Linked DNA regions of Cricetulus griseus. The protein of the gene in region 5 interacts with the protein of the main gene of each other region in a biochemical or structural test. Links are inferred from orthologs where the notes say so. Each region holds a gene or a part of one and is shown on either strand. Other genes may lie near its edges.

The links.
Region 1: the proteins of Ptpn6 (region 5) and Kit form a complex in vitro, tested with the Homo sapiens proteins (2 studies listed by BioGRID). The link is inferred for Cricetulus griseus from reciprocal best matches to the Homo sapiens genes PTPN6 and KIT.
Region 2: of the proteins of Ptpn6 (region 5) and Syk, one has a biochemical effect on the other in vitro, tested with the Homo sapiens proteins (2 studies listed by BioGRID). The link is inferred for Cricetulus griseus from reciprocal best matches to the Homo sapiens genes PTPN6 and SYK.
Region 3: the proteins of Ptpn6 (region 5) and Pdgfrb form a complex in vitro, tested with the Homo sapiens proteins (2 studies listed by BioGRID and IntAct, with this or other methods). The link is inferred for Cricetulus griseus from reciprocal best matches to the Homo sapiens genes PTPN6 and PDGFRB.
Region 4: of the proteins of Ptpn6 (region 5) and Lck, one has a biochemical effect on the other in vitro, tested with the Homo sapiens proteins (4 studies listed by BioGRID and IntAct, with this or other methods). The link is inferred for Cricetulus griseus from reciprocal best matches to the Homo sapiens genes PTPN6 and LCK.
Region 6: the proteins of Ptpn6 (region 5) and Lcp2 form a complex in vitro, tested with the Homo sapiens proteins (2 studies listed by BioGRID). The link is inferred for Cricetulus griseus from reciprocal best matches to the Homo sapiens genes PTPN6 and LCP2.
Region 7: the proteins of Ptpn6 (region 5) and Pecam1 form a complex in vitro, tested with the Homo sapiens proteins (2 studies listed by BioGRID, with this or other methods). The link is inferred for Cricetulus griseus from reciprocal best matches to the Homo sapiens genes PTPN6 and PECAM1.

What each region holds. Positions count from the first base shown.
Region 1 is NW_023276807.1:142,062,712-142,066,885, reverse strand, and holds the start of Kit (mast/stem cell growth factor receptor Kit), read right to left. Parts: upstream 2,801-4,174; 5' UTR 2,717-2,800; coding exon 2,650-2,716; intron 1-2,649. UniProt on the Homo sapiens protein: Tyrosine-protein kinase that acts as a cell-surface receptor for the cytokine KITLG/SCF and plays an essential role in the regulation of cell survival and proliferation, hematopoiesis, stem cell maintenance, gametogenesis, mast cell development, migration and function, and in melanogenesis.
Region 2 is NC_048596.1:271,576,977-271,580,476, reverse strand, and holds part of Syk (tyrosine-protein kinase SYK), read right to left. Parts: coding exon 3,396-3,500; intron 2,751-3,395; coding exon 2,638-2,750; intron 1-2,637. UniProt on the Homo sapiens protein: Non-receptor tyrosine kinase which mediates signal transduction downstream of a variety of transmembrane receptors including classical immunoreceptors like the B-cell receptor (BCR).
Region 3 is NC_048595.1:178,023,405-178,026,330, forward strand, and holds part of Pdgfrb (platelet-derived growth factor receptor beta), read right to left. Parts: coding exon 2,885-2,926; intron 2,348-2,884; coding exon 2,248-2,347; intron 1,473-2,247; coding exon 1,367-1,472; intron 607-1,366; coding exon 374-606; intron 1-373. UniProt on the Homo sapiens protein: Tyrosine-protein kinase that acts as a cell-surface receptor for homodimeric PDGFB and PDGFD and for heterodimers formed by PDGFA and PDGFB, and plays an essential role in the regulation of embryonic development, cell proliferation, survival, differentiation, chemotaxis and migration.
Region 4 is NC_048595.1:23,482,550-23,486,049, forward strand, and holds part of Lck (tyrosine-protein kinase Lck), read left to right. Parts: intron 1-1,821; coding exon 1,822-1,898; intron 1,899-1,975; coding exon 1,976-2,129; intron 2,130-2,209; coding exon 2,210-2,341; intron 2,342-3,500. UniProt on the Homo sapiens protein: Non-receptor tyrosine-protein kinase that plays an essential role in the selection and maturation of developing T-cells in the thymus and in the function of mature T-cells. Plays a key role in T-cell antigen receptor (TCR)-linked signal transduction pathways.
Region 5 is NC_048601.1:21,673,076-21,677,109, reverse strand, and holds the start of Ptpn6 (tyrosine-protein phosphatase non-receptor type 6), read right to left. Parts: upstream 2,801-4,034; 5' UTR 2,651-2,800; coding exon 2,643-2,650; intron 2,557-2,642; coding exon 2,434-2,556; intron 2,191-2,433; coding exon 1,996-2,190; intron 1-1,995. UniProt on the Homo sapiens protein: Tyrosine phosphatase enzyme that plays important roles in controlling immune signaling pathways and fundamental physiological processes such as hematopoiesis.
Region 6 is NC_048600.1:49,261,998-49,265,497, forward strand, and holds part of Lcp2 (lymphocyte cytosolic protein 2), read left to right. Parts: intron 1-1,103; coding exon 1,104-1,198; intron 1,199-1,894; coding exon 1,895-1,972; intron 1,973-3,500. UniProt on the Homo sapiens protein: Adapter protein primarily involved in signaling pathways within T-cells, as well as other immune cells such as platelets, mast cells, and natural killer (NK) cells.
Region 7 is NC_048600.1:119,627,657-119,631,156, forward strand, and holds part of Pecam1 (platelet endothelial cell adhesion molecule), read right to left. Parts: intron 2,716-3,500; coding exon 2,440-2,715; intron 1-2,439. UniProt on the Homo sapiens protein: Cell adhesion molecule which is required for leukocyte transendothelial migration (TEM) under most inflammatory conditions.

The DNA.
Region 1 (4,174 bases), on a different chromosome or scaffold from region 5:
TATGGAGCTGAGCTCAGGCTTCTTCACTGATTATTTTGGGCAAGTGACTTGTCTCCAATAGGAAAATAGTAGAGGCTGTAGTGGTCCAACCTCCTGGGCTCCCTGAGTAGGGAAACAGCAGGGAAAGCCCTCAGCATGAGGTCTGGCAGACATTTGCTGATTATAAAGCCCCACGTATGCACAAAGCACACCCATGATACGATATTTAAGGCACATTAGAAAGCGTGTTGCAAAAGCACGGCATGCATGATTTAAAACGTCATAAGAAAAAAGAAATCCACGGATGGGTGGGGAAAGTGAATTATCTGAGATCTCTTTATTACAGAACTATCAGATTATTTCCAGTAGGATCATAAGCCAAGACCAGGTGCATAAATGACTAGGGTCTTGCACCTGCAGGAAAGGGGGGAAGATCTGATTCACTGTTTCAGGACCATCCTGTTGAGCTGTAAAAGCTGCAAATGCCCAGGAAGAAGGAGGGGTTACTACAGAGCAGGCACTTGCTAGCCCTCCAAAGAGATCACAACGTAAACAAACACAAAACTGCTTCCTGCTAAGCCAGAACAGTACACACACACACACACACACACACACACACACACACACACACACACACGGAAAACTGAAGGCACCAACCCCTCCTAATTTAAATGACCCGCCCAAGGGCACATAACCAAGGAGGCTGTAGGTATGAAAAGGGGACCTGAAACTGGTGGGGCAGAACAAGGGTTTGTCATTAGGACACACTGCCTGCCAGGCAACAGACCTTCAGATTCTCTTTGCCAAAGTTATTGGTCAGAGCACACTAATCAGGAGGAAGATACAAACCATTGGTACGTTTCAGGTTTTAAGGGGGAACTATGATCTTCCTGGTGTTCCATCTTGGTCTAAAGCAGGACAAGGTGGAAAACACAAAGATCGCTGGGGTCATTTTCAGCTAAGCAGTCAAATACGCCTAGGAATCTGGACACTCATTTGCGTTCCCTGGTGACCCCTCCTCTGGGGCAGGGGTCTAGATGTAAACACACACACATACACACAACACACACACACACACACACACACACACACACACACACACACACACCACACACACACACACACACACACACACACACACACACACACACACACACACACACACACACACACACACACACACACACACACACACCACGCACACACAGAGCCCTCCCGGGCCTTTCAAAAGCATCGGGAGAGTGAGATCTGGGAAACATAGCCAGCAGCGGGCTCCAAACAGGTCAGACAGCGCTGCTGGCCTTTGGACGCTTCATTCCAGAGCGCAGATTCTCTCTAGCCTATAGCATCAAGGTAACCTTAAAGGGTTTCTGGGTTTTGTTTTGAAAACGACCTGGAAAAGACCAAAGATTCATGACCAGAGCCAGGCGACCCGCACAGGCAGCCCACCAGCGACACCTGGCAAAAAGGGGCAGGGCTAAGGAGCTCCAGGAGACTACACATCCTCCACCTTGAGACCCAAGTTCCCGTGCAGAGGTACCATGGTTTTCGTAACAGCTTGAAGAAACAAATGGGATTTGCAGGAAGTTCACCTCTTCTGCCCCATCCCACCCCATGAGGCCAGAGAATGGTTATCATGTGAGAGGGGGAGTCTAGATCTCGGGATTCCCAAAGAAAACGGCCACCTGCGACTACAAGTCTCATACACTGAGACCAGGGGTTTCCAAAGCTAGGGCGGGCTGCCTGGTCCCTCATACTGTGCGCACGAGGCGGCAAGGAACAGCTGCGTCCCCGCACGAGGTCCCTCCTTCCCAGGAGCTGGCGGCTAACGTAGGCTGCAGCAGCTCCCCGGCGCGTGGCAGCAATGTACACCGTGCGGCTGCAGAGAGGGGCGAGCCTTTAGCACGAGATTTACAAAAGGAAAAAGTCTGCAACCTAGCGGCTGCTCGCCACACGCCTGGCTCAAGTTGTCCCCGTAGCCGCCACATACAGGCTCGCGGGGTCCCGCCCCAGAGCCGCGCGCCGCGTGTCCCCCGTGCAAAAAAAAAATAGGGGGAGGGGGTACAAGCACGCCCGAGATTCGTCTCCGCGGGTAGCGCTGCGCACGACTAGAGCGACTGCGGTTGGGTCCCCAGCACTGTACACAAAGACCGCCCGCGGTGGGGAAGCAGCGGCCGCAGAGCAAAAAAAAGAAAAAGGCTCTCCAACTTTGCCCGGCGCGCGTCCGGGGACCCGCGGGCTCATCCTCGCGGGCGCAGGTCACCCACACGCAACTTTTAACAAAAGGAAGCCGCGGCCGCGCCTCGCACGGGAAGAGGACGTTCTCGGTGCGAAGCCCCAGGCCGCCAGCCACTGCCACCCGTGCTCAGTCCGCACAAAAGCATCGCCAAACTAGCCCGCAGCCTGCAGCCCCGCGGTCCCGACTCCCGGAAGACTCTCGGCTCCGGGTCTCCACCGCCCGCCGCTGCCGGCTCCTGGCGCAGGTGAGCGAGGCGGACCAACAGAGTCCCGCGGCCGCCCGCCACCTTCGCACTGGCTGTAACACACAGGCAGTGGAAAAGCCAACAGCCACCACTCTGGACGCACCCCGCCTGGTGACACCCCTCCCAGACCCAGGATTGTGCCCACGGGGTGGAGGGTGCAATCCTCTAGTCGGCCGCGCTCTCCCACCTGTCTGGCCACGGAGCAGGACAAACAGGACGCAGAGCAAATCCCAGGCGCCGCGAGCGCCTCTCATCGCGGTGGCTGCGCTAGTTTCTGAGCTCCTCTCTCTGCTACAGCTCTCGCCCAAGTGCACCAAGCGCGGCAAAGCCGAGCCCCCAGAGCCACTAGCGGCGCGCGACAGCCCCTCCTCCAGCCCTCCCCCAGTGCGCGGCCACGCCCCTCCCTCCTCCCTCCCGGGTCGCGCTCCCTCTCGCTGCCTGGTGCCCGGGACTCTCGGGATATGCTGATCCCGGGGGCGCTGTGTCCTCTGAGACCTCGAGCACCCACAGGCCATCCATCCCGGATCCTCTTCCTCCCGTCATTCTTCCTCCATCGGTGGTCCTCCTGCCCCAGGCGGCTTCCTGGCCACGCAGGTGCTGCCCGCGCTTTGTGAAGCCTGGCGCCACGCGCGCTTTAGGCACAGGCCAGCCACCTGACAGGTGCTCCCTAGACAATAAAGGACAACCACAGGGGTTACCCCACCCCCCTGCACACTTCGGCGGGCAGTGGAAGTGCTACGAAACGAGATTGCTGGGCGAAAGGATTAAGAAATTCGGCCCCCAACGTTGTTCTCCGGTCCTGCTAGTAGAGGGGGACCAATTGTGGCGCCCCACACCACGGCGCAAGGCTGAGCCCACGTTTAAGTAATTTTTCTTGCTCAGTTTCTCCACCTGCTGCGAGACCTGTAAGAACACAGCTGATTCTATTGGCCAGTGTGGACCTCCGCCCAACCAAGCTCCTGCTGAGACTTGTGGAAACTGGGCCAGTGGAGTGTAGAGAGGCTCCTTGTGAAGTAGTTAGCTTTGGAAACACGGTTTTTAAAGCCTATTCGAGTTTGGGTGCCTTTTCGCTTGTGGATTTTTTTTAGTCTATCCCCACCCCGCCCCCGCCTCACACACACACACGCACACGCACACGCACACGCACACACACACACCCTACCTCTCTCCTGCTCTGGCCAGCCTTAGGAGCAACATAAAAGTAAAACAATTATCTTTTCTTGTAAAGACTTTTTTTTTTTAAATGTGTATGACTGTTTTGCCAACATGTATGTCTGCACACCAGGCAGGTCAGAAGAAAGCAACAGATCCCCTGAAACTGGAGTTACAAATGGTTGTGAATCACCTTGTGGGTGCTGGGAGCCCAACTGCTCTGAACCCTTCTTGTTCTTAACCAGTGACCCATCTCTCCAGCTCCTAAAGTAATTCTGTTAAGAGATCTACTTAGAAGCATTTTATGGTCACTGTGGCTATACAATCCCCCAGTATAGGGTTTTTATAGTTCTGTATTCCATTATCCAGACTTACTATTAACTTTGAGAAGTAGGGAGAATAAACGTTTATTATTTTAGCTCTTAAAGTGACCCAAGATTACACACCTAATAGTGGGGAGACAGAGTTTGAAGCCTCATGGGTATTGTGTTTTCCCTTTATATTCTCTTACTTTTATAATTTTATGTGTATGTCAGAGAACAAATTTTGAGAGTGTGTTC
Region 2 (3,500 bases), on a different chromosome or scaffold from region 5:
TGGGTCTGTGCTGCTCACAAGTGAGATGCCGAGGTGAGCAAATGATGGGAGAAATTTTTACCTCCTGACTGAAAGGGAGCTCACTCCCTCTGTGTTCATGGGGGGGGAGGGGTTCCTGGCCCTGCAGGTTAACAAAACCCTCTGGCGTTCAAGTTCCTTCTATAAAATGGCACAGGGACTGGGGACACAGCTCAGTGTATAAAGTGTCTGTGTCCAAGTGTGAGGACCTGAGTGTGGGTCACCAACAGCTATATAAAAGGCAGATACGGCCGGACCTATCTGTCCAGCACTGGGGGGTGGACACACGTGACTCCCATGGGACTTGCTGGCTGCCAGTAAAGCAGAAGTGGTGTGATTAGGTTTAGGAAGGCATTTTGCCTCAAATAATAAAGTGGAAAGGTCCAGTGAGGTGGTTCGGTGGGCAGAGGCACTTGCTATCAAACCAAAGGGCCTGAATCTGATCCTCAGTACCCACACAGTAGGAGAGAACTGAGTCCCAAAAGTTTCTTCTGACCTTCACATATGTTCTGGGGCACACTCTAATACTTGCATATACATGTACTTACACACACACACACACACACACACACACACACACACACACACACACACAGAGAGAGAGAGAGAGAGAGAGAGAGAGAGAGAGGCAAAAGAGTAAATGAAGAAACAACAAGGTGGAGAGTGATGGAAGAAGACACCCAAGTCAGCTGTGGCCTCCACATGCACATGCACGGGCGAGCACACTTGCACGCACACACACATGCACACAAACCTGCACCCACTGCGCACAGGGATCAGTCTCTGCACATAATTCTGACATTTTAAAATCACCTTTAGGATTCTCGTAGTACCTGAGGTTGAAGGCGCAGGGATTGAAGGCAGGAAAAACATGCTCACACCAGACACAATTAAAAAAAAATAACCTAGGAAACCTGCTGGTGCAGAGTCTGTGGGAATCTCAGGGCCAGGAATTCCTCCCAGGGCAGAGCTCTGTAGAGCTGACTGGTCTCAAGCTCATCTTTCTAACAGGGAGCATCTCCTATCTCGGTGGCACCAGAAGGCTTCGGCACAGTGGCTGGGACCCTCCCTGACAGGCGCCTCTGGACATGCCTAGTGGCTCCTGGTGCTGTCACCACGCACACAGTGTCCCGCTCAGCAGCTGTTAGGCAAAGCAAAGCACACTGCCCCTAAGAATGGGGTGGGGCTTCTGACCCTGTGGGCGGAGCAGTCTGAGTGTGGCGGGTGGCAGCCCTGCCCCACTGTGTGGGGACTTCTAGCCCTGAGTTGCCTGTGGTCATCAGGAGCTTCTAGACTGGGTGTGAGGCTCTGGGGAAGCAGGGATACGCTCAGACACTGTCAGAGGCAGGGGCTGTTCTGGATGCTTGAGATGCCATGTGGGACTCTGTGATTTCCTCGAGTCCACATTACGGTCTCATAAAATCCCAACAGCTCTGCAGCATAACTCTGCAGCTGTCCTAAGTATGTTCTACTATGTTCCCACAGCTGCAAAATGCATATATGACTGTCCCTGCCTCAAAGAGACATGATTGGATAGTAAAACAGTCGATCTCTGGCCCCACCTCCTGCCATCACTTACGTAGAAGGCAGTGCATTCCTGATACATCAAAAAAAAATTCATACTTCATTTTAATACTCAGTGTGATGGCTAAAGACACTCCATTTTATGCTATGCATCCATCTTGGTACCCACCAGCTGTTTGTCACTGACTCCAGTCCCTGGAAGATAAGTTCCCAGTCACCCCGACTCTGTCACCCTATCCAAAGATGTACAGGAATGGCTGTCTACTTGTTATGATATGACCAGCTGCTTTTTGGCTTCTGTAACTTGCTTATGCAGATACCTAAAGAGTGTCTTGAGTTGCCTTAACCACTGAACTTGACAAAAAAGACCAGATTTTGCTTGCTTGCGTAGATATGAAGGTCTTCTTGTGGTTTTTGTCTTGAAAAAAGAAAGAAAGAAAGAAAGAAAGAAAGAAAGAAAGAAAGAAAGAAAGAAAGAAAGAACCTTCTCCACCCCCCCACCCCTCAGTCCACTTCATTGCCTTCTCAAATTTGGCTCCTAGATTGTTTGTCCCAGAGCAGCTAATCAATAAGTCTTTTAATTACAATTGGATTAGGTCTGTGTGGTCCTTTCCCAGGGGTCACAAACACCATGACACCAGCTGTGAAGGGCAGTTTTAATTGTCAACTTGACACAGTCTGGAACCACCTGGGAAGACAGTCTCAATGTTGTCTGGAACAGGCGGGCCTATGGGGGATTGTCTTGGTCATGTTATTTGATGTGAAGACCCAGGCCACCATGGGTTACCGTCCTTGGGTCAGGGAATCCTGGCCCTTCCCAGAAAGGAGTGAGACGAGCACCAAAAGCACGCACAACAGCCTTTCTCTCAGCTCTCCACTGCGCTGATGCGACCAAATGTTTTCAGTTCCTGCCGCCATGACCTCCTTGTGATCAGGGACTGTAATTTGGAGTTCTGACGTAAAATAGATCCCTTGCCCCTATGTTAGCTTTTAGCAGAGACATTTTATCACATCAACAGAAATAACTAGGACACTAGCCACACCATCTACTCCTATAAACCGCCGGGTCATTGGCGGCAAGGGTTTGGTACTCACTCGTACGTCCAGCAAAGGTTCATGAGGTCGTACATCTCTCTGGGGCACCCTGGAGGGCACCCCATACGCTCCCCTTTCTCCAGCATGGCAGTCACTTCACTCCCTTTCATCCCCTGAGACATGGAAATGCACACAAACTCTTCAAACATAGGCCAACAAACAAAAGTACCTCACCCCCAGAGACAGAGGGACACAGACACAGGCTGTGCAATTTCAGGTGACATCTGTCACAATGCTAGGGGCCCTTCCTCTGGACTCCTAGAGTCAGATGTGACTGCCCAGTGTGAAGGGCTGGATGTGTTGGGGAGAAGGCGGGCTTTGGGGTTTCTGCTCTGATTCTTCATTTAGGGATTGGCTTTGTGGGATGCAGGGCTTTTATTCGCGACAATCTGTTGAGTGGCACTGTAGGACCTGCTTACATGCAGGAAAGTGTGCACACGTGCACACACACAAGCACACACATAGCAACGGCTAAAATAGTTGACGCTGTCACTGGCACCATTTCTATTTTAACTCTCAAGAAGGATGGTCTGGGGCCATGTCTGCTGAGTGTACCTAACACACAGTGGAAACGCGTTCACTTAGCATCATGTCATGCCCAGGTTACCGTAAGCTGAGGCTGCACTAACTGCCCGCCGTTAGAGGGTGATGAGAGACCCCGGGGTGTCCCCAGGTTCCTGTGTCAACGATCTACACTGAGTGATGCTTTCCTAAGGCACGCGGCTGAGACGTCAGACACACAGCTGAGCACGGCTCACTCTGTAAGGCTTCTGCCCGTAGGAGAACGCTTCCCACATCAGGACCCCGAAGCTCCAGACGTCACTCTTGCTGGAGAACTTGTAGTAGTTAATACATTCAGGGGC
Region 3 (2,926 bases), on a different chromosome or scaffold from region 5:
GCAGTGCTCCCTGGAGCGCTCTGGGCATGGCAGCCATGACCCACACTAACAGCTGGGGAATGTTAAATGTTTCCTCTCTGTCCTAGGGACTAACACAGTACCTGCAAAGGGTCTTGTGGCTACACCCTTAAAAGGAAGAGCTATCTTGCAAATGGGTTCCCAATCATCTTGTTTCATTCCAATCTGCCCTTCCTGCCTGCAGCTTCAAGAGCTGAATAAACTCCAGCCTCTGCTGGCCACTGGAAAGAGTTTGTCCTCACTCTAGCTAGATGTCACTCTTTCTGTAGCAAGTCCAGCACATACCCACAAACACACTCACAAACACATGCACTATACACATGAGTGCCTGGGACCAAAGGGTTAGGGTGATTACCTGGCAAGGCTGGGGGAACCCTCTAGGAGGCCCTCATCGGCAGCGTCAGGCTTGGGGTCAGGCAAGGGGATGATGTAGTCATTGTCACCCTCATTGGGTTGCACAGCAGTGTAGAGGACAGAGCTAGTGTCCAGGGGAGCTCGGAGGCTATGGAACCCTGGCAAGCGAGCTTGAGACCTCAGGATGGCTGGGTGGTCACTTCTCAGAAACTCCTCATCTACCTGCTGGTACTTCTGCTCCATAGGGCAGGGAGTAAAGGAAAAACATGGGTGTGAGATGGGCAACATCTTAGAGACCCTCTACCCCAGCTAGTACACAGAGACAGGGGTTCTATTTGAAGCTGCACCAGTGAGTTGCCTTCCTACCTGGTATCCCAAGACAAGGCAAATAAATGCTCAGAGTCGCCTAGGGAAGGGCAGGTAGCCAGCCAGCACCATGACCCTAACTCCTACCCCACTTCAGAGTAGACAGATATGGGCCTTTATCCCATTGTAGTCTCCCACAGCCTTCTGCTGGGAGACTGGGTCAGTGTCCCTTGCTGTGAAATAGTGGTGACTTCATTCTGCATTGATCTCCCTAGCACCACCCCCAGATAGGAAGAAGCAAGAAGCTGAGCTCAGGACAGACTTGATCCATTGGCCTCGCGTGAACCTGGGACAAGGTTTAAGTGTAGTTGCTGCCAGGGTTGAGGAGAGCCTGGGGTTGCTCACACTTCTGAGCAGCCCCAGTGTTGTCATGGTGCACAGGATTGACAATAGGGTTATCGACCGACTGACTGTACCTCCCTTGGTCAAATTCATCAGCTTCCACATCTTGGTTCTATTAAAATAAATTCATAGCTCTGGCCTGACTCTTTCTAGTACCAGCAAGGAAACTGAGGCCCAGCACGTGGGAAGAGTATTTCCTCCCAAATACCAGCACATCACTGCAAGTCCAGTGCACAGCGTTTGGACCAGAACTGTCTCCCACCCCGCCTTGTCTGTCTCCACATACCTTTTTATAACCCTCACCCAGCAGCCTCTCCAAGAGCAGCACCAGCTGGGAGAAAGGGGGTCGAGTCTCAAACTTCTCTTCCCAGCATTTCTGCATGATCTCATAGCTGAGGGAGGCAGAGAGAGGGTCAGAGTCTCTACCTTAGAGACATATAGTAGGGCTCAGAGTAAAGTGAAGGGGGAGATGCTGGGGAGGAGCGCCCTGGGGCCTTGTTAACACCATCATTGTTTCTCACCGATCCCTTGGGAAGTCTTTCCAGCTTCCCTCACCCACATGATTCTGTGTGGCCCAAAACACCACGGTGAGCATGTGACCTGAATTTGGTCAATAGGGACTTCCATCCTCCCAGAGCAGGCCTGGTTTTGATGGCATGTGACAAACTGAGCCCTTAAAGTTTAGTTCTGGGTGGGGCTGGAGAGATGGTTCAATGATTAAGAGCACTTGTTGCTTTTGCAGAATAGTTGGATTCAATTCCCAGCATGCACATGCTGGCTCACAGCTGTCTGTACCTCTAGTTCCAAAGGATCTGACACCCTTTTCTGATCTCTGAGGGCATCAGACATGAATGTGATGCACACACAGTCATGCAGGCAAAACACTCATACACTTAAAATTTTTAAAAGGTCAGCTCTGGGTCTTTGGCTGGAGTAATGCAAGCACTAAGATGTCAGGGTGGTGCTAACAGCAGCCACATGAGCAGGACAGGCTTGGATTTGAAACCAGCATTGAGAAAGTGAAAACCTTGACTGGGACAGAACTTCCGGATGGCACCGTCTTAAACACCTTGATCCAGTTCTAGCAGGACTTGTCTAACCTCTGAGCTAGAGCTGCATGCCCTCTGAACCCTCAAATTCCTCCCATGTATACAAGGTTCCACTCACATCTCATCAGAGGCATGAGCAGGCTGGGCCATGCGGTAGCCTCTCTTGATGGCATTGTAGAACTGGTCATTCATGGGCAGCTCTGGGTAAGGGGTACCACCTGTCATGGAACAGAGACAGGGACATTATTGTCTCAGGGTGTGGGAAGTGGCAGGGTGTCTTCTCAGGCAACTGACCTGGAGTGTATGAGAATGCAATGCCCTTGGCATTGGAAGTAGAGATGGGAATAGAGAAACAATAGATACACAAGCAGGGTTTGTGTCTATGTTGTTTTGTTTGCCAAAGATGGAGTCTTTGTGTGGTCCAAGCTGGCCTCGAACTTTCCATCTTCCTGACTTCCAAGTACTGGGATTACAGATTTTCATTATTATAGCTGGCTTTAAGCATGATTTTCGATATGTCTAACCTCTTTGATGCTTGGATGGGAAGACAGAGACCCAGAGTCAGCAAAGGACTTGCCAAAGCCATACAGTGGAAAGAGTGGCAGAGCCTGGACTTGCTCCTGAGTCCCTGCTCATGTTTCAGTGTCTGTCCCACAGTCCCTGCTTCGAGCCCCAGGAGCAATCAGGAGGGAGGTAGAAGCAAGAGGGTAGATGGTCTGGTGTATAGTTTGGGGCTGAGGGAAGAAGCGGCTCACCCAGTGTGAAGATCTCCCAGAGCAGGATCCCGAAAGACCACA
Region 4 (3,500 bases), on a different chromosome or scaffold from region 5:
TAGAAGCAGGTGTGGATTCCCATGGAACTGGAGTTACAGATGGTTTTGAGTCACTGTGTGGTTGCTGGGCATTAAATCCAGGTCCTCTGGAAGAGCAGCCAGTGATCTTAACTGCTGAGCCATCTTTCCAGCCCCAATATATAGCACATTTATTAAGGACCCAAGAGTCTGACTGCCTAGACAGAGTTGGTGCTTTATGCTTGTATGGCTTTGGGCTGATCACATGACTTCTTTATGCTTCAAGTAGTTCTTTTGGATCTGTAAAATAGTGTTAGGGCCAGCAAGTAAAGGTGGTAAAGGTGCTTGCTGACAAGACAAATCCCTGGAATCCACACAACAGAGGTAAAGCACAGACTCCTGCAACTTGTCTTCTGATCAACACACACATGCAATGAGTAAATAAATGTATGTAATTAAAACATAGTGGCACTAATGAAAGCAGCTTCCCTATATGGTCTCTGTGAGGACGGAAGAAACAGTATCTGTCCTGCATTGTTTTTATGTGCTTCAGATTGTTTAGAGTGCAAAACCTGTCACTTGCAGGAAGGGAAACAAACTGCTCATTGGTTAATGAGCTCTGGAAATGGCAAATAGGTTTTGTCATTGGTAGTTTCTTTTCTATCTCTATTCTGAGATAGGGTTTCTCTGTATAGTCCTGGATGCCCTGGAACTCTCTCTGTAGATAGGGCTGGCTTCAAACTCAGATCCACCTGCCTCTACCTCCTAAGTGCTAGGGTTAAAGGTGCACACCACCACCAACTGGCAGGAGTTTTTTTTTTTTATTTTGTATGTGTGCACATGCATATATGCATGCATAGGTGTGTGTGTGTGTGTGTGTGTGTGTGTGTGTGTGTGTGTGTGTGTATGCATTCTGCTGCCTAAGGAGGCCAGAAGAGAGCATCACAGTCCCTGGAGCTATAGTTACAGGTGGTCCCTTGACATGGGTGCTGGGATACGAACTTGGGTCTTCTGGAAAAGCAAGTACTCTTAAGACTGTGAGCCAACTCTCCAGTCTCAGGATTGTCATTCTTGTACAGGGTTTTGTTTTTATTAATTTACTCTTTGCCTTTTGAGACAGGGTTTTACTATGTAGCATTGGATGCCCCAGAACTCTTTACATAGACTAGCCTGACTTTAAACTTGTAGAGAGCCTCCTGCCTCTGCTTCCTGGGTGCTGGGATTAAAGGTATGTACCATCTTTACCCAGATGAAACCTCATTTTGATAATGGACACTGAGAAAAGCAGAGTTTATGACTTGGGGATGTTCCTAAATGCCCCAGGGATGGCCAGGTGGTGGTGGCGCACGCCTTTAATCCCAGCACTCGGGAGGCAGAGGCCTGTGGATCTCTGTGAGTTCAAGGCCAGTCTGGTCTACGGAGCTAGTTCCAGGGCAGCTAGGGGCTGTTACACAGAGAAACCTTGTCTAGAAAAACAAAGCAAGCAAACGAGACTGAGGCGTCTAGATGTCTGTATGGAGGATCTAAAGACGGTCTGTGGTAGAGTGAGAAAGCCATGTCTGTGGGGAGGAGATACAGGCGTGGCTCGTGCAGAGCTTTGGCTGTTGTGGAACTGGGGCTCTACCTTACCCCAGAGCAGGAAGCCTTTGGCTCCTCCTTTGGCTCCCCATCCTAACCCTCTGGAAAAGGCTGTCTCATATGCTAAGAATCCGGCCCCCACATGCGGGCGAGCACATACTCTTTCTCAGTCCTTATTCTTCCTTGCCACTGTCAGTCACTGCTTCCAGATCCTAGATGGAGCAGAAGGCTCTAGGGACTTCCTCCCGGGCAATTTAGATCTCCAACTCTTGCTTTTGCTCATAGGGAGCCTAGTAGATTTTCTCAAGACTCCCTCAGGCATCAAACTGAACATCAACAAGCTGTTGGACATGGCAGCACAGGTGAGGAGGATGAAAAAGGGCTGGGTCTGGCTGCAGCTCAGTTGGCCTAAGACTGATGACCTATTCCTGGCCTGCAGATTGCAGAGGGCATGGCATTCATTGAAGAGCAAAATTACATCCATCGCGACCTTCGGGCTGCCAACATCCTGGTGTCCGACACATTGAGCTGCAAGATTGCGGACTTTGGCCTGGCACGTCTCATTGAGGACAATGAGTACACAGCCAGGGAGGGTAGGTGCAGGAAAAAGAGGAGGTTCAGAGTCTGCAGCAGAGCAAACATACACAGGTGACCTCACTTTGCCTCCCTCTAGGGGCCAAATTTCCCATTAAATGGACAGCACCAGAAGCCATTAACTATGGGACCTTCACCATCAAGTCCGATGTGTGGTCTTTCGGGATCTTGCTGACAGAGATCGTCACCCATGGCAGAATCCCTTACCCAGGTGAGCATTAAGGGAAGGAACTCTGAGGGCTATAAGGAAGGGCAGCAAATCCCCACTCACTTCTTCCCTGGCTCAAACCCTGAAATTTCTAGTTGCTTCTCTTCCATCCCCTTGGGCTTGTGACTCCAGCAACCCCTATTAGATGCTTCGTCTCCCAGCACTGACTTCCATCTCTATCTCTGAGACCCCTCATCTCTCAAAAACTCTAGCTCCTTACTCAGTTCTGGTAAAGATCACCTAGTGTGACAGGAATGGGTCTGGCTCAGGGTATAAAAGTTCCTTTTCTTTTTTTTTTTATTAATTGCTTTTTTAAAAAGATTTTAAAAATTTATTTATTTATTATGTATACAACATTCTGCTTCCATGTATAGCTTCACAGCAGAAGAGGGTATCAGATCTCATTACAGATGGTTGTGAACCACCATGTGGTTGCTGGGAATTGAACTCAGGACCACTGAAAGAACAGTCCGTGCTCTTAACCTCTGAGCCATCTCTTCAGCCCCTTTTTCTAAGATTTTATTTATTTATTATGAATACAGTCTATACAGTCTTCTACCTGCATGCCAGCAGAGGGATCTCATTCAAGGTGGTTGTGAGCCACCATGTGGTTGCTGGGAATTTAACTCAGGACCTTTGGAAGAACAGTCAGTGCTCTTAACCGCTGAGCCATCTCTCCAGCCCAAAAGTTCCTTTTCTTACCAGCTGGGCCTCCGATAGATTTCTGTTTGACTTTTACCAGACCATTCCTTTTTTTTTTTTTTTTTTCTTTTTTCAGAGTAACTTAGTCCTGGCTGTCCTAGAATTTACTCTGTAGACCAGGCTGACCTTGAACTCTTAGAGAACCATCTGCCTCTGTGCCCCCAGTGCTGGGTTAAAGGTGTGCACCACCAATGCCCAGATTCTTGTTTCTTAAATAGGAGATCAGGACAGTGCTTAGGCCACACTAAACCATTACTCATCATTACTCAGCTGTACCAGTCCCAAATCATGACACAAAGATTTCTTATTAGTTATGAATGTTCAGCCTAGCCTTGGTTCCTTTCTGGCTAGATTTTTTTACTTAGATTAACCTATTTCTTGTTATCTACCTTTTGCCTAGGGGCTTTTTTACCTTCCTTCCTTCCTTTCTTCCTTCCTTCCTTTCTTTCTTTCTTTCTTT
Region 5 (4,034 bases):
GAGTGGGGCTCAGTCCTGATCCTTCTCAACTCTGCCCAGAGGACACCATAGCTCAGGGCCCTTCAGAGGCTCCTACCCCAACCCAGATGTCCTGGGCTACCCCAGCCTATCTCGGAGACAGCCCAGGGCCCCCAAGCAATGTGAGGGGGCTCAGCTCCTTCCCTCAGGGACAGGATGAGGAAGTCTCCATGCAAATGTGAACTGACCACAGGCAGAGTTCACCACTGAGGGGACAAATGCAAATTTCCCAGAAGAGGCAGGGCAAGGACACAAGGAGTATTGGGCCATGGCTTCCGCACACCCTAGAGTTAGGGATGAAACTGAGCTTCTGGGTCATCCAAAGTGCCTCTTGGAGTCATCCAAACCCCTCAGTGGTCTGTCACCCATGTAGTGTTGCATGCTTCCCCTGTCTGTCCTACCCTGCTTCCCTGACACCCGTCAGCTCCCCCCTCCTCCCCTATCACAGTGAACATACCAGCTACAATTCTGCTATGCCTCCACAGTCCGTGTCCTCTAACACAGCAGATCCTGGCTTGACAGCAACAAGGGGAGACAAGGAGGTAAAAGAGCATCCAAGAGGCCAAACCACCTTAAGTGTTGCAGGTAGGAGGGGGAAGGAGAGAGCATGAGGCATGCCCTTCCTTTCCATCCACCACCAGAGGAGAAAAGCCTTCAAGGAAGTGTAGACCAGCCTCTTCGTGTTGGCTGGAAAGGGATCTCCAGAGGTGAACCACAGGGGCTTTTACCCCAATCATTCAAGTTCTACCTTTGTTTGTTTGTTTGTTTCAGTTTTTTAAGTCAAGGGTTTCGTAGCCCAGGCTAGCCTCAAAAGTGCTATGTAGTTGAGGACGAATTTGAACTTGTGGTCTTCCTGCCTCCTCCTGGGATTGCAGACATATGTCACCACTCAAGGTTTATGCAATACAGAGAATCAAACCCAGGGCTTAATGCAAGCACTTTGCCAACTGATCCACAGACCTTAGGCCTCCAGTTCCAAGTTTTAATAGGTGACTTGAACAAAAATATTGAGCTAAGTCTGTAGGCACAAATCTCAAAAAAGACTACAAACCACTGGGAAGTGGCTCAGTGGCAAAGCACATACCCGATAAGCACAAGGTCCAGAGTTCAGGCCCCAGCAGAGGGTCTGGAGTCGGGGGTGGGGGTCAAGGTTCAGAATCATTTCAACAGTAAATACACAAACCCAGAACAAGTTGGTATGCGTGGCCCCAGAAGTCCATGAGAAAGAACCCCCTAGTGTTATTCCATGCCCTTTACCTCAATAGGAGCTGTGTCAGTCACTATGCTGTACAGCTAAGATGAGTTACTGTGTAATGAAGGACATCTATTTATATGCCTCTCCTTGCAAGTGCTCTGGGGAGACCACCCAAGAACAGCCAGCCAAGTTATGGGGGCCATGTCCTTGCAGCTCTGGTGAGGGATATCCCAAGTGTTTCCTGGAGCCGGGTAAGCCTGGGTCCTTACCCCTCTATACCTGTGACCATATCAATGACCTTGCTTCACCCAAGCTCTGCAACCCCATCCTCACTGTGTTGTTGAGATAAAGCCCTAAGTATCCCAATAACAGGGATCCCTAAGACCTTCCTAACATGGGGACCTAAAAGGCCCAGACTGTGGAGAGCTGAGGGAAGGCAACAGAGTTCCATAGAAGGAAGAGCTTTCTAGCAATAGGGCCAACCTGATGGGAAACACCAGCCACAAGGAGTGGCCTCACTGTCACTCTCTGGACTAGGTTGCTAGACAGCAGGAACCCTACAGAAAGGCAAGGGGAGCCCTTCTCTTGCTTCCTCAGGGGACAGGGGATGGGTTAGTTAAGGGACTCATCAGGTAGAGAGGAAAGCGGCTAGGGCTCTGAGATAGAACAGGGGTGGCAGAGTAGGCATGAGGAACGGACTGAGCAGGTCACTTGGGCTGGGTGCTCCTCTCCTTTACACTGATCTCAAGGGAGCGGGCCAGCCTGCAATGCGCGCGGCTCACCTCTCGCTGGTGGGGTCCGAGCAGTTCAGTGGGTACTTGAGGTGGATGATCGTGCCATCTCGGTCCTGAAGGATGCCCTGCTGCTGAGTGTAATACTCCACCAGCTCCGTCAATGTTGCAAACTTCTCCCCTCCGTACAGGTCATAGAAGTCCCCCGAGTTCTGAATCCGAATATGGGTCACCTGGTCATCTACCCTGCAAGGCACCAGGGAGTGAGGCCCCAGGTACAGGAGCAGAAGTGGAGTGGGGGACAGGCCAAGGGGCCCGAATGCAAAAGCACACAGGACTGGGGTAGACGCAGACGGTTATGGGGACACACTAGGGCTGCAGGCAGGGACACCGCTGCAAGACAACATGAGAAGGCAATGCAACCCAGGGAACAGAAGAATGCTCAGGACCCAAGCCATGAGCTGCCAAATCGCCGGGAGGGCCACTCACCTGACTGAGAGGGAGAAGTCACCCTGGTTCTTGCGACTGGGCCGAGCCAGGAAGCTCCCAGGGACTCCCCGGCCCTTGAGCAGGGTCTCGGCATCAGGCCCACTGAGGTCCCGATGAAACCACCTGAAGGTGTACAGGGTGGTGAGGTAACGTGCCCCGGGCGCCAGGCCACCCTTCCTTTCTACCTCCCATGGGCCCCAGGCCCTTACCTCACCATCCTGGGGCTCTTGCTGAATTGGCTGCGGAGAAGGTGGAGGGAACAGCCTGTCTGGGCAGGTGGGAAAACTCTAGGGTTGAGCCTCAAGCAAGGCTCTCGGAGCCTAAGCCTCCTACAACCCCAACCTGCTGTCCTGCTACCAGGCTACCACTCTACTGGCCTGGGGCAGCCAGCAGGGCGGAGACAGGAAGGGGCGCGGCCGACCCCTTGGGGGAACTCACTTGTACTTCTCTTTTCAGAGCAAGGGAAGAGAAGCAGAAGGGTGGCAGGGTGGGGGAGGGCCCACTTCCCACAGTCTGCCATCAAAGGCCCAGGAGTATGGCACTCTACATAGCAAGAGGTAAGGACCGCGCTTATGCCCCGCAGCCCCTCCAGGCCAAGATCCACACATGTGACTCCTCATGGCCATTAGGTCACCTCTTCCTCCTCCACCAGCTGCTTCTACTCAGCATTCCTTGGCACAATCTAATAATGATGGTGTGCAGTGACACTGTCATTTAATGGAGTGTTGCCACATGCCAGACTCATTGCTACAATGTTATTTGCAGGCCTCCCATGAGTTACTCCTCACCACAGCCTCATTACACAGGCACTATCTTTATACCCACTTTACAGACAAGGAAATGGAGGCTAAGGGAGTTTGAGGAATTGCCCGCAGGCCTTACACTTAGTAAATTACCCGATTCAGACCTAAATAGTTCAGTTTCAAAGCCAATGATTTGTAAATACTGCCTGCCAGCCCTCAGGACCTAAATTTAGAACGGTAGTCAATAGATGTCTTGTCCAAAGGAGATATTATCACAGCAGAGAGCCCCCACAAAAAGACCTCAGGCAGCATTGCCAATTATGGGCCTCTTCTATTTTCAGAGACTGTTTACAGGCCTCTTTTCTCTACCCTGAGTCTGAGCGAGCAGGTGTGTGTGTGTGTGTGTGTGTGTGTGTGTGTGTCCTGGAAGCTAGGGTTGGTGACCAAGCTCCTAACAACAGCAGATACAGCAGATGCTCACAGGGATAGTAACTTTTAAGAGCTCTGAGCCCAGCCGGGCATTGGTAGCGCACGCCTTTAATCCCAGCACTCAGGAGACAGAGGCAAAGGATCTCTGTGAGTTCAAGACCAGCCTGGTCTACAAGAGCTAGTTCCAGGACAACAGCCTCCAAAGCCACAGAGAAACCCTGTCTCAAAAAACAAACAAACAAAAAAAGAGCTCTGGGCCCAAAGTCTTATGACGGCCTGTGTATGTAATCCTCAGTATAAATTAAAACAAAAAAAAAAAAATCAAACACTACCAAGCCAAGAGCAGAGGAAAAACAACCTGCCCAACAGAAGAGTCAAGAAACTCCTATTGGTGTCTTCCTTTGGGAGAGCCATAGGCTGCTGGGGAAC
Region 6 (3,500 bases), on a different chromosome or scaffold from region 5:
TGTACATACAGATGCCTGGCAATCATGTTCAAGTGGATCTAATTCAGGAGGGCTGGGTGTCACCTGAGATGGCATTTCTAGCAAGTTCCTACAGGACATTGATGCTATTGGTCCATGTTCTAGCAAAGGTCTGTGAGACAGGACTGCACTGGGATGATTTTAAAGCAAATGATCAGTTTATGGTGCCTTCTAGTCCAACAGTTCTACATCTTGGGGAATTGTAAAATGAAAACAAACAGAAAGACCACAGCAAACACTGGCTCTAAAGTAACACTGTTCTCAAGCCCTTCCCTTTCTTTCTGTGAAGACACTGAGCACATAATTAGCTCTTCTCTGCTGCCAATGTGAGAGCTGTTGGTGAGGCATTCCATGTGTGCCGTGATGGCAGGCATCTACGAAAGGTCTGCTTTTGGCATGTTCATATTGAGGCACACAGTCAAACAATGTGGTTATTTTTATAAATGGGCCCTCGTTATGTTGTGTGCATGTTTAGGGGTTCACTGAAATGTCAGGGTCTTTTCTCAAAGTTTCTCCAGCATGGTATGGAACATGGCCCAAACAGCCCTCATATTATGAGAGAAGTAGAAATTATTTTTCCAACCTCATATTCTTTTTTAATTAATTAATCTTACATCCTGGGGGCAGTTTCCCTTTCCTTCTTTCCTCCCAGTCCTTCCCCCATCCTCTCCTTCTGTTCCCACCTCCCCCAGTCCACTCACTCCTCATCTATTTCTGTTTAGGAAAGGACAGGTCTCCCACTGGATATCAACAAAACATGGCATATCAAGTTGCAGTAAGCATCTCCCCATGTGTTAAGGTTGGGCAAGAAAAACTAGTATGAGGAAATAGGGTTCTAAAAGTCAGTAAAAGAGTCAGAGACAATCCCTACTCCTGCTGTTAGGAGTCACACAAGAGGGTCAACCTACCTAACTGTAACATATATGCAGAGGGCCTAGGTCAGTCCCATGCAGGCTCCCTCCAACCTCATAATCTTGAAAAATGAATGCCCCTACTGTCATGGGGGTATCTGTGATGGATGTGCTATGAGATGAGAAAACAGTGGCCGACACTAAATTAATTTTCAAAATATTTTGCTTTGAAAGGTCTCAGCAATAGACCACCTCTCAGAAATGAAGGCAGAAACTTATCCATGCCAGTTCCAAACAGGCCACAGCCTCCATCTCCTGAAGAAGAAGAGGTAATACAGCTGTTTCTAATTTTGTTTGCTTTTCTCCCTAGCAAAGGGACGATAAGAAACTCTCCTAAGCTGCTCTGCTCTATTTGTGCCTTCTGTTAGAGCTTTATTGCCATTTAATTAAGAGGGCAGCTGTATAGCTCAGTGGTCAAATCCTTGCCTAGCATTGGGTGAAGCCCTGCCCTGGATCCACAGCACCACACACAATAAACCAAAAACTGAGGGGAAGATGTAAATGAAAACTAATGTTCTCTTTAGTGTTCTCTCACCGTCTTCCAGGGGCATTAAGAAATGATAAAAAAATAAGCCCAGTTTTTCATGTTTCCTGGCTTATAGCCTTGAATGAATAAGTCTCATAGTTGCTCCACTAAAACAGATTTTTCATTGATTATGTTACTACTATATAATAAGCTGGAGAGTTCGTCTATCTCTGTCTTTCTAGATCAAAGTCTCCATTACATAAGGGAGGCTCCTTCCTTCACAGCTGCTTTTGCAGTCAGTGGCATGCTAAGGAAGCACTTTGCACAAAATGTTTTCCATGCAGCCCCATCTAAAGGACTCAAGTCAAGAAAACAAATGTTCTAAGTCTCGAGAATTGAGGTGGTGATTTATGGGAAATAGTATTTTTTTCCTTTTTGTTTCTTTTCACTTTGCTTATGTAACTATAGAACTCACAGTGCTTTTAAAATTTATTTGCAGATTCCATTAGATGAAGAGTGGTATGTCTCTTATATCACCCGACCAGAGGCAGAAGCTGCTCTTAGAAAGATAAACCAGGTATCATTCTATGCTTTATGTTTATGCAGTTATACATGTTAGTGGAGGAAGGGGAGGGTATTGCTATGCACTGGCACTCAAGTATGAACTAGCTGCTGTTCCCGCTGCTAGGTGCTGTTCCTTTAAGAGCCATTAGTGCTACCATCCTACCCGCTAGCATCCATAGAATGTTTCCTCCAAGCCATCACTATCCGTCAGTTGGCAGATATTAGGCAGTTTCATTAATGAGTGTGTCTCTATTTTTTTGTCAAAGGAATCGTGTATCATTTCAGACATCTTACTAATTTATCTTCCTCTTAACACTTGTTTGCCATTCAAGATCATGAGAAAGACCCATGATGAAAGCATATCTGCAAAGTCTTCTAGAAATTTCTAGTTAGTCTTAATGTTATAAAGTCTTACTCATGTTCCAGTACTAACCCTTAACCCTGAGTTCCTGGGTCAGAGATGAGAGAACAACAACCCTTTAGCCTTTACATTGTTAACGCTACAGCAACCATTTCCAGCCTCAGCAGCCGATTTGGTCATCTGGGGTAGTTTTTTGTTTTTGTTTTGTTTTGTTTTGTTTTAAATTTGGGTTCCTGAGTTTTGAGGCGATTGTGTTAATAAGTGTGGGGTGGGCTGAGAGGGAGTCTTCAGGCTCCGCAGGTGATCCTGAATTCAAGCCAAACCTGTGACTCACTGGTCCAGAGGGAAGTTCCTTTATCAGCTATGTTCTCAATGGCTCAATTAACTATGAGCAAAAGGAACAAAGGAACAGTGCTATTGCATATTGATGGCCATTTAAAACCCATTCTAGTTAAGTACATAGAGGAGGGAGTGATTTACATTGGTCTTTCTAATTAGCTCTATTTTACTATTAGATCTTTGTCATGTTTTATTACATTGAAATAACTCTTGTATGAAATGTAAAATACAGAGCAAATCACATTTTAGAAAGTAAAGGGGAAAGAGGTGACAAGAATATACAAAGTCCACATTCACTTTTGTTCAGGTGTGAGATGGGTAAAAGCTAAACACAGCAAGTGTGTGGGACAAAGGGCAGTGCACTTCACAGGCAAATAATGAGGGTGTAGAAAGGCAAGTTTAGAAAACTAACAGAAGTGAGCAGGTATATGGTAAGTAAGCCTCCTTACTTCTTGTGGCGCATTACTCACCGACTGATTGTTTTTATTACTTAAAAAATGTATAGTAAGAATCTTCAAAAGCAGGGCGGTGATGGCACATGCCTTTAATCCCAGCACTCAGGAGTCAGAGGCAGGTGAATCTCTATGAGTTCAAGGCCAACCTGGTCTACAGAGTGAGTTCCAGGACAGCCAAGGTTACAAAGAGAAGCCCTGTCACTAAAACCAGAACCAAAAGCAACAAAAAGCTCCAAAGATGTTAACTTGCAAATTTCAGATGCAATCCCAGTTGTCTTCCTTAGAAATCAAAAGACCCAGAGTACCTGGGGTCCCCAGCTCTGAGGAGAACTCAGTGTCAATTTACAAGTGATAGCTTTGTCTGCCCCATAGGCTTGTCTCTTAAC
Region 7 (3,500 bases), on a different chromosome or scaffold from region 5:
GCACCACCACCACCTCGCAGTTTAATTTGCTCATTTATTTATTTGAGATAAGGTCTCATTATGTAGCCCTGGCTGGCTTCAAACTCACCATGTAGACCAGGCTGGCCTTGAACTCAGAAATCTGCTGGCCTCTACCTCCTAAGTGCTGAAATTAAAGGTGTGCACTACCACGATCTGCCCTTATTTTATTTTGTTTTTTAAGACAGAGTCTCATGAAACTGGCCATGACCTCCAGATCTTCCTGTGTCAGATTACAGGTGTGTGCCACCAGCCCCAGACACTCATCTGCTTTTGAAACTGTGTTGTTATCTCTAGTCTCAAAGAAACTGGAAAAGTCACTTGGCCCAGAGTTCAGGGCCCAGCAGAGTAAGTTCAATGGAGAGGGTGGTCATTCGTTCCTCATGCAGTTTCCTGGTTCTAGCCTCCTACATTCAGACTGTCACCAGCTCCTCCTGTTGACATGGTTTCCCCAGCTGTGCTGTTTCCGAAGCTAACTCTCCTCCCTTATCGTCTCCATTACTATTTGTTTTGACAGTGAAATATGGACTTTCTGGAAAGTTGGCCCTCAGTCTTCCAACTCCACTCTTTTTAAAAAATAACATTTTGAGCTTGCCAGGTGGTGGTGTTGCACGACTTTAATCCCAGTACTCGGGAGGCAGAGGCAGGCGGATGTCTGTGAGTTAGAGACTAGCCTGGTCTACAAGAGCTAGTTCTAGGACAGCCTCCAAAGCCATAGAGAAACCCTGTCTCGAAACACCCCCCCACCAAAATAAACCATTTTGATCTATTTATTCTGTGCACAGGTGTGCACGTGCCACAGTGGGTGTGGAAGTCGGAGAACAATTTGTGAGACCCCCTTCCACCATGTGGGGTCCCAGGGATTGACCTCAGGTCATCAGGCTGGGCGGGCACCTCCACCTGCCGAGTCATCTCGCCAGGCTCTCCATCTCCACTCATGGGAGTTTCACCTCCATACTCAGCTTTTATTTCTGAGCACTGAAACCTAAACTGAAGCTTCCTGTCCAGACAGCTTCCCGGAACCCGAGGCTCCCTTCCCACCTGGAGACTTAGAAAGCCAAAAGTGCTGTGCCCCCCACTGGGCCCTTTTCCTCAGCAGCATTCTTAACCATTCAGGCCACATTCCCTACTAGTGACAGTGGACTGGCCAACAGACGTGAGTCACCTCTCAACGCAAAGGGTGGTATGAGATCTAAAGGAAGCTAAGCATCTGACCTGGGATGGCCGCGGTCCCACACGGGGACAGCCTGAGCACATTGCCACGGGGAAGAAGGGATTAGTGGTGAATTGGTCTCAAGAGCCAGACTGCCTGGGCTCAGATCCCAAGCCTACCACCTACCCTGTATTTGCTCTAAGTCTTAGCAACTTCATTGCAAATCCAAGGGTAAACTATGATGAGTCTCATGTGCTATTTTGAGTATTACTAGGGATAATTTGCTACAATGCTTCACCAGGCCTGGACATCTGAGGAGGGCTCAGTAAATGCTAGCCACTAATACAGACCCAATTTAAACCATTTCAACTCATGGCTTCCTCCTGGGTGTTCACACTGACTTCTTAACATCTGGAGGTGGGAAGTCTCCACTCCTCAACACCAGCTGAATGCACAGCAAGCAGGTTCCCCAAACCCACTCTTACCGCACCCCTCTTCCCTCTCTTGTCCACTGAGACTCGGGTATTATGTATCCCAAGCTGGCCTTGATCTCACTATGCAGCTAAGGATAACCTTGAACTACTGATCCCCCTGCCTCTACCTAGAAGTACTGGGATTATAGGCCTGTCGTAGTCATCCATTGCCTCTCCCCTGTGGACAAGTCTTGCCCTCACCAGCGCATGTAGACCGTATGCTTTTATACACTGTACATTGATGACACAGAGTTGTTAAACAAAAGGTGACAAATGACAAGAGAAGGAAGGGTGGCTAAGGGTCTATCAACAGGATTCAGAGCAAGGTAAGCAGAGGCACTGCAAAGGCCACTCAAAGGCACAGGTCAGACACTGAGGGAAAGCTCTCTGTCCCCAAGACCAAGGTGAGGATCCCAGGCGGTTCCCGTGAACCAGTGTCTGCCAAAAGTTTCCCTGTGTGACCCTGATGTTCCACCAAGGTCAATGGCAGAAAAGAGTTCCGGCCTGCAGCTCTTGTGAAAAGGTACAAAACCAAGAAACCCCAAATACACAATATCAGCAGTTCCTTAAGACCAGCCACCTTCCCTTTTCAGGAGATTCAAGGGTCACTTGAAAGATCAAAAGGAATTACAATGGCCATGCCAAGAGCCCCCGTCTTTCTCAGAGCCGTTTGTGGGGGCTTAGTTCTGCTTTGATTGGCTGTGTGAGATACACAGGTACCATCCCTGTTATCCCCACAACCCCTAATTGACATCAAACCTTCCAGCCTGTTAAAGCCCTGCCCTTCTTGCTTACCTATCACCTTGACCCTCAGGGTCTCGCTGTACAACTGAGGGTGGGAATGGCAGTTGTTCGCCATGCACTGGTATTCCACATCTTCGATGGGCTCATCTGTGAATGCTGCTGGGTCATTGGAGGTCACCATGCGATCCAGGAAGACATTTGTGTCTTTTATAAGGTGGTAAGTGACAGGTGCAGTTCCATTTACAGACTGGCAGCTGATGGTTATGGCATGTCCTTTTATGATCTCAGCCTTGGCATCATGAAATATCCTAGGCTTAGACAGCATTTCTAGAACAACAGAGAAAAACAATCCAAATAAAACAGAAACAACAACCCAAATTTTGGGCTTGGCTTTCTCCATCGAGATCATGATTTCAAATGTCTGCCTGATTTACCATTAAGGGGCTCCTATAAGGTTACCAGGCAATGCCTGTCTGTGTGTGTGTGCATTTGGTAACACGGGAGGAGAAGAACTATGGTAGTTAGATGGGGATGTAGCCCAGTGGTAGAGCATTTGCCTAGCATGTGTAAGGTCTCAGGTTCAATTCCCAGCACTAGGGCAGTATAAGCAAAATAATGATATAATAGCTGGGTATGGTGGAACACACCTGCAATTCCACACCTGGGAGGGCAGGCAGGGAGATCGCAAGTTCGAGGCTAGCCTGGGCTACATAGTATAACCCTGTCCTGTCTCAAAGGAGAAGGGGAAGAAGAAGTGGGGAGCAATGAGGAGAAAGGAACAGGAGGAATAAGAGAATGGACGCGGAAGAGCTAGGTTTCGTGGCACCTGCCTGCCTGCAGGTTCACCAGCCAGGCACGATGTGGGCACTGGGAACTGAACCCAGGTCCTCTGCAAAAACAGCAAGTGCCCATAAACACTGTGTAATCTCTCCAGGCCCTGTGTGTGTGTATGTGTGTGTGTGTAATGAATATGAAGGTCAGAGGACAATTTGTAGGAGTTGTTCCTCTGTTTCTACCACGTGGGTCACAGGGACTGAACTCAGGTCGTCAGGCTTGGCAGCAAGCACCTTTATCCAGTAAGCCATTTTGCCCGTCCTTCCTGGCGTTCTCAA